Cricetulus griseus: one gene and its partner. The protein of the gene in region 2 interacts with the protein of the main gene of each other region in a pairwise test. Links are inferred from orthologs where the notes say so. Each region holds a gene or a part of one and is shown on either strand. Other genes may lie near its edges. The genes, in order: Hinfp and protein NPAT.

Region 1 (3,673 bases), about 9.3 Mb from region 2:
CTAATAGGTGAGTTTGGACTCAGTATAACTGTCTCAAAAAATAAAGTGGACATCAGCCGACACTGATCTCTGGCCTCCACACACAACATGCTCACACAAGGCAGACCGTGTGCCTGCAGACACAAACACATGCTCACATATACACTACATAGTCATTTGTTTGTTTGTTTAAGACAGGGTTTCTCGCCGGGCGTTGGTGGCTCACGCCTTTAATCCCAGCACTCAGGAGGCAGAGGCAGGCGGATCTCTGTGAGTTCAAGGCCAGCCTGGTCTCCAGAGCAAGTGCCAGGATAGGCTCCAAAGCTACACAGAGAAACCCTGTCTCGAAAAAAAAAAAAAAAAAAAGATTATTTTAAGGAGTTTCAACTTCTTTAAGAATCCAATGAAAGTGGCTAGAGAGATGGCTAAGCAGTTAAGATCATGCATTGCTCTTACAAAGACTCCGATTCAGTTCCTAGCACCCACATGGTAGTTCACGGCTGTCTGTAACTTCAGTTCCAGAGGACCAGTCACCTCTTTTGACCTCCATGGGCAAGCCTATGGTATACTTACATTCATGTAGACAAACACTCATACACATAAAACAAAAGTAAACAAACATATATGTATAGTATACATAAGAATTTTTTTAATTCAATGAAAATAGATCCACTCTCTAGGAAAATGTATAGACACAATTTTCTAACTTGACTCCTGTCCCTTGAGTACTAGGCATTCTCTGGGTGACCACCCAACCTAACTCTACTTCAGATTCCTTTGCAGTCCCAGAACCCCAACCCACCCTAGAGGTATGGGGTTCTAATTAAGAGTTGATGGTGCAGTCCTGGTGCCATTCATACCCATTCTGTAACACTGCTCAGTCACTAATGGACAAGTACTTGGGGCCTCCTTCCACAAAGCTGGTAGATGCTTAGGAAGCAATGGACAAACTCTAGTAAATGAGTACATGACACTTAAAGAAACCACCCTGGTCATGAAAGGGGTAAGCCTAATGATTTAGCTCCACTTCTAGACAGCTGTTTCTCTTTGTTACCTAGTTAACTGTCACAAAACTTGATAAATAAGTAACAGCCCAAGTGCTTTATTACCAAAAAACAACTGTCATACATACACAGTGTCTCCAATCCTATCCCTGAAGATAACCACAAGTGTCCCTGGAATGTAAAAGGAAACCTTGAGAGAAATGGCACCTGGTTCTCAATGCTTAACTTATAGTGAGGAGACAGCTCTCATAAGGAACAGCCACTCATCATCCCTGGGCCAATGGGCCCCTAAAAACAGGAATGAATGTAGACTAAACTAAACATTTACTCTGTCTAGCATGCCAAGGGAGTATATTTAAACCTGGTAACATTTCCTCTAATGAGAACATACATGTAGGATTTCTTCAATGAATCCACCTCCTCAGGTTCCCCACAAAGAACATTAGTGGTGGGGGGGTTACTCACAGTCTATAGACCGATGCCACCTGAGTCACAGGGGAACATACTGTTCTCAGCACCACTTCTAAAGGCATCCAAAATCAAAGTCTGCCCACCTGGGGGAGCTGCTACCTGCCTGGCTCAAACTCCAAGATCTGGAGAAGTGGTCAGGCTCTGCAGCCTCAAACCATCTGGATCTCTGGCTTCTCAGGCATTCCTTGAAGTTTTTCCATCTCTCTTGAGGATAGTTCAGAGACTGGTGGGGGCTCTCCTGGGGCTTCAGATAGCACATAGTAGACCATTTCTCGCTGGCCTTGGCTGACTGTCTGGTTGACCATATGGATGGCAGAACTGGGGTTGTCCTGAGAAGCCGAGATGGCTGTTCCCTCAACCCTGTCTTCCTCTTCCATCTCTTCCTCAGGTCCTGGCCCTCCCAGCACTGTTTCTAGAACGATGCCCTGCAGGCTGCCTTCATTCAGTGCTACTCCTGGATCTGATCCTTCCTGTAGCTGCTGCAGCAGCTGCTGTGTGAGCTCCACACTCTCATAGCGAACTAGCTGTAGTCGCATGTAGCCATCTTCATGCTCCTTGTACCTGGAGAAGGCAGCAGACCAGCAGAGGATGAAGAAATGGCCTGGACACAGAGGGTGAAGATATAAATATGCTAGCTGGAAGACAGCTTAGGACTCTCTGTGACAGGACTGAAGCTTAAGAAAAGGTTTTTAATGGCATACATAGAAGAAAGGTCAGAAGAGAGGACTCAAAATGGAAAAATTAATGGAGAAGCCCAACCCAATAGAGACTGATGTTGACTCTGTAAGAGGCCAAAGTGTCAAAGTTTATGAGAAGGTCAGGGGGCTGAAAGTCAGGACCCTTAGCTTTTAATTATTGCTCTGGCTGCTGTACTTTTGGCATTACTTGTTGAATCTGAAACCAAGCTTCACTGGAAAAACCACAGCCTTGCATGGTGGCACATATCTGTAATCTCACTGGAGGCAGAGACAGGTAGATCTCTATGAGTTCAAGACCAGCCTGGTCTCCATAGCAAGCTTTAGGCCAGCCAGGGATCCTGTCTCAAAAAACAAATAAGAGCCAGGCATGGTGGCACACACCTTTAATCTAAGAACTCAGGAGACAGAGGTAGGCAGATCTCAGTGAGTCTGAGGCCACCCTGGTCTACAAACAATGTTCCAGAACAAGAACAACAAAAACAAACAAACAAAACAAAACAAAACAAAAAAAACCTCTGCTCTGATGGAGTTGTCCTTCTGTATATGTTTATCTTATTGGTTGATGAATAAAATACTGTTGGCCAACAGGGAAGCAAGATAGGTGGGACTAGGAGAGGAGGAGGATTCTGGGAAATGTAGGCAGAGTCAGTCATGTTTGACATGAAAGGATTAACAGGTCCACACTCTTTCTCCGGTAAGATAAGACCATGTAAAAATACACAGATTAATAGCTTAGTCATAGATGGTAGCATCAAAGTACCATAAAGTTCAAAGTTGGGTTCTTTTTTTCCTTGTTAAAAAGTCTGTCATGGCTCAGAGTGTAAAATGCTTGCCATGCATGCCTGATGACCTGAGTTCAATATCTGGAATCCACACAACAGAGGAAAGAAACAACTCTACAAGTTGTGTCTCAACCTCTAAAGGACTGGCAGCCCCACCCCCATATACACACAGTAATAAACAAAAACAAGGTATAAATCTGGAGGGAAAGATTTATACACACCGAAAACGAGGGTGTCCTGACGGCCACTTGAACTGGTGCTTCTTGCGAAGGTGCACAGTGAGGTTGTTGCCACGTGTGAAGCATTTGTCACAGACATGACATTTGTACCTTGGCTCTGAGTCTCCCTGATGAGGAAGGGAGAAGGCAATGAGGTCAGTTTTTCACTCACACTCCCGAGAACCCCGCCCACCGGCCACTTACTTCATGCACTTTGCGGTGATGGGACTTGATAGAGCTAAGAGATCGGGCACTGAAACTGCAGTTCTCAAAGTCACACCTGTAGGCTGACTCCTTGCTGTGGGTGTCCAGGTGCTTCCGGAGGTCAATCAGATTCTTGCAACTGCCAGGAGAAATCAGGAGGGGTTGAAGAGCACAGGGAACCCTGAAACTTGAGCCCTGTATTTTGACCCCTGGGTTCGCTTACCTGTAGTCACAACAGTCACATTTAAAGGGCCGGTCCTCACTGTGTCGAAAGCGCATGTGATTTCGGAGGGAGGAAGGCAGTGGGCAGGTCATGT
Region 2 (3,823 bases):
AGGTTCTCTTGAGACCCAAAATATTGATGGTAAACCTAGCAAAGACTCAGTGGATGTAGATGCATCAAGTATTGTCTCTCTCAAAATTATCATTAGTGATGATCCATTTGTTTCCTCAGATGCAGAGCTCAGCAGCGCTGTATCTAGTATCGGTGGAGAAAACTTGCCAACGATAATTCTGTCTTCTAAATCTCCCGCCAAAAATGCAGAATTTGTTACATGCCTGTCTTCAGAAGAAACTGCGAGTGCTGTTGTATCTGTTGAAGTAGGGGATTCTGGCTCAATGGAGCAGAACCTTTTAGTACTCAAACCTGAGGAACCAGTAGTAAACAACCCTCAGAATGAAGATAGCATTGCATTTTCAGCCAGTGTTGCACCATGTGTTCCTAAGGATGGAGGATACATACAGTTGATGCCTGCCACAAGCACAGCCTTTGGCAATTCAAGTAACATTTTGATAGCTACCTGTGTGACTGATCCAACAACCTTGGGACCAACTGTCAGTCAATCTAATGTAGTGGTATTGCCTGGGAATTCTGCACCTATGACTGCACAGCCTCCTCCACAGCAATTACAGACACCACCAAAGTCTAACAGTGTATTTACTGTCAACCAAGCTGTGTCGCCAAACTTTTCACAAGGTAACTCTAAGAGCATATTGGAGGTGAGCTGGGGATATAGTTCATTGGAAAAGCACTTGTATAACATGTACAAGGCTGTGGACTCTATCTCCACCACTGAATGAAAAGAGATGCATGTATGTATGTGTGTATAATTTATATGTGTGTGTGCACACATATTTTGGAGCTTCTCTGGATTGCAATCTTAATTTTCTTGTGTGAAGTCACTGACTAGGTAATAATATAGATAGTTCCTATGACAAAATACTATACAAATAATTGCTTATGCATCTTTCTTGCTATCCAGTTCAGCCAGATTTTGTTTAAATCTGGTAGGCTGTAGCTTTATTTTTTTTTTTCTTTGCGAGTTTTTAATGTACAACACTAAGCTGTAAAAAAGAAAAAGCCTAATTCATTGCATACCTATATATATGCTTCAACTCGATCTAGCAGGGTATTTCTTTATTTTTACTTTAATCATGGTTCTTTTGCAGGATGGAGTTCAAGACAGGGTTTCTCTGTGTAGCCCTGGCTGTCCTGGAACTTTCTGTATAGATCAGGCTGGCCTCAAACTCAGAGATCCACTTGTTTGTCTCTGTCTCCCCAAGTACTGGGATTAAAGGCATGTGCTGCCACCTCCTGGCTCTAGTTTAGAGAGACTTTCAAGAAAACTTAAATTCTATAAAACCCATTCTAATTACTCATGTTCTGGTGCTATTTAGAAATGATTCAAGTTGGGGCTGGAGAGAGAGCTCAGTGGTTAAGAGCACTGGCTGCTCTTCTAGGGGACCAGGGTTCAGTTCCCAGCATCCACATGGCAGCTCACAGCTGTCCATAACTCCAGTTCCAGAGGATCTGACACCTTCACACCAATGCACATGAATAAAATTAAATAAATTTTTAAAAAGAGAGAAAAATAATTCAAGTCTTTAGAGACTTCCCCAAGGGCTCTTGTCTTCATTGTATGTTGCTTTACATACAGTTAACAATCGGCAAAATTATCATAGCAATCAAAGAATTCACACATATTCACCTACATTCCCATTGTACTGATATATAGACAATGAAATCTGATGAAATATTATCAACTAAGCATTAAATTTGGTGAATCTATTTCAAATGATGGAAAGGCCAGAATTGCTGAAGAATATGAAGCTTGCATTAAAACCTAGAGAAAAGAGGTAAGATTTGAAGCCAAGGGAAGTAGAATAAGTATTCCTGGATACTTGGCAGGTTTATGTGAAAATAAGATCTTACAGGGATAGTTAGCCTTTTAGGTAAAGGTGCATTTACTACCAGGACTAAGTTACTATAGCTTTTCTTGTGGTTGACTCCTAAGGACCATGTGGTCACTCTAATTTTCCCTAGGTAGATTAATCTGGTTACAAAAGTATGTTCTTTTTGCCCAGTACCATTAAGATATAATACATTGAGTAAATGGTTAAGGGCTATAAGTACTCTCTTGGAATCCAAGTTTTCTTCTATAAGTTCAAACAGAACAGTCACTACTCAGTTCCTAATTAGTTTCAGTCTTTGTTAGAATAATCAGTGTGTAATAGGATCTTCTAGCCAGAGAGTCTTGAGCTTAGGATAATATCACTAAATGCCCTACATCTTAATATTTAGATTTGCTTTGTTTTGAATTCTTAACTTTTATTACTATACTTGATCAAAAAAAAAATTGGGGGGGGGTGGAGATTTTCGAGGCAGGGTTTCTCTGTGTAGAACCCCTTTGGAGCCTGTCCTGGAACTAGCTCTTGTGGTTACTATTTTTGTGATGAAAACACCATTACCAAAAGCAACTTTGGTGGGGTAAAGGGTTTATTTCACTTACAGTTCCATATAGTAGTTCATCATCAAAAGCAATGAGGGCTGAAACTCAAGGCAGGGACCTGGCGTCAGGAATTGATGCAGAGGACATAGAGGGGTGTTGCTTACTAGTGACCCCCACCCTGGCTTGCTTATCTTGACTTGCTCAGTCTGCTCAGGAATGGCACCACCCACAATGGGTTGGACCGTCCCACATCAGTTACTAACAAAATGCCTACAGGCTTGCCAATCTTAAAGAGGCAGTTTCTCAATTGAGGTTCTGTCCTTTCAGATAACTAGCTTGTGTCAAGTTGACATACAACTAGTCCGCACAATAGACCCATTATCACCTTGACACACAAACACATCACTGTTAAGCCATAACCTTTCTTTTCTTATACTTCCCAAAGATCACACATCAACATTACAATATAATCATTCCAAAATTTTAAAGTCCCATAGTCTTTAAAAATAGATTCTCTTAGGGTCGGAGAAATGGCTCAGTGGTTAAGAACACTAGCTGTTCTACCAGAGGGACCCAGGTTCAATTCCCAGCACCCACATGGCAACTCCCAACTGTCTGTAACTCCAGTTCTAGGGGCTATGACACCCTCGTGAATATATATACAGGCAAAACACCAATACACATAAGTTTTTTAAAAAATAATAATAATTCATTCTCTTTAAAATAGGCAATCTTTTAAAATCTGGACTTTTAAAATTCAGTGTTTGAATTGTATGCTCCTATCAAATCAAAAAATAGTTACTTCAGGAGGGAAGAACCAGGGCGTAGTCATAATCTGAACAAAGCAAAACCAAACTTACAATATTAATCATTCAATGTCCAGTGTCGGAGATTCACTCACAATCTTCTGGGCTCCTCCAAAGTGACCCAAAAGGCTTAGGTCTCTTCTCAGGCTCTGCCCTCTGCAGCACACGTAGCTTGTCTTCTAGACTATGGCTGGCTCCACTCCACCACTGCTGCTATTCTGAGTGGTCATCCTATATTGTTGGCATCTCCAAAACTGCTGGGGTCCCTTGCTGCAACTGAGCTGCACTTTCAATGATAGCCTCTCCTGGGCTTCTTCAGGGACTCCAGTCTTGCCATACAGTGCCAAGCCTCGGTTGCTCTCCATGACCCCTTCATGCCTTCAAAACCAGTACCAGCTGGGTGACTCTTAGACTACCAACATTGGCAACTAGTATGAGGTACAACCTTGGCTGCTTCTGGAATACAGCTTCCGTGTGCTGACCCCAAGGAAATCCTTCCCAGAAGACTTCACCTCAATGATGCTAGTCTCTTAGTCACAGCTGATTCTTCAGCACCAACTGTCCCAGCAAAGCAAAGGTTTTACTTCACTATTTCTGGGCTCTTGTTAATCATAGCCAGTTCT

Evidence for each region.
Region 1: the proteins of protein NPAT (region 2) and Hinfp interact in a two-hybrid assay, tested with the Homo sapiens proteins (2 studies listed by BioGRID). The link is inferred for Cricetulus griseus from reciprocal best matches to the Homo sapiens genes NPAT and HINFP.

What each region holds. Positions count from the first base shown.
Region 1 is NC_048597.1:155,984,411-155,988,083, forward strand, and holds the end of Hinfp (histone H4 transcription factor), read right to left. Parts: coding exon 3,580-3,673; intron 3,496-3,579; coding exon 3,357-3,495; intron 3,281-3,356; coding exon 3,156-3,280; intron 2,016-3,155; coding exon 1,604-2,015; 3' UTR 607-1,603; downstream 1-606. UniProt on the Homo sapiens protein: Transcriptional repressor that binds to the consensus sequence 5'-CGGACGTT-3' and to the RB1 promoter. Transcriptional activator that promotes histone H4 gene transcription at the G1/S phase transition in conjunction with NPAT.
Region 2 is NC_048597.1:165,283,234-165,287,056, forward strand, and holds part of protein NPAT, read left to right. Parts: coding exon 1-641; intron 642-3,823. UniProt on the Homo sapiens protein: Required for progression through the G1 and S phases of the cell cycle and for S phase entry. Activates transcription of the histone H2A, histone H2B, histone H3 and histone H4 genes in conjunction with MIZF.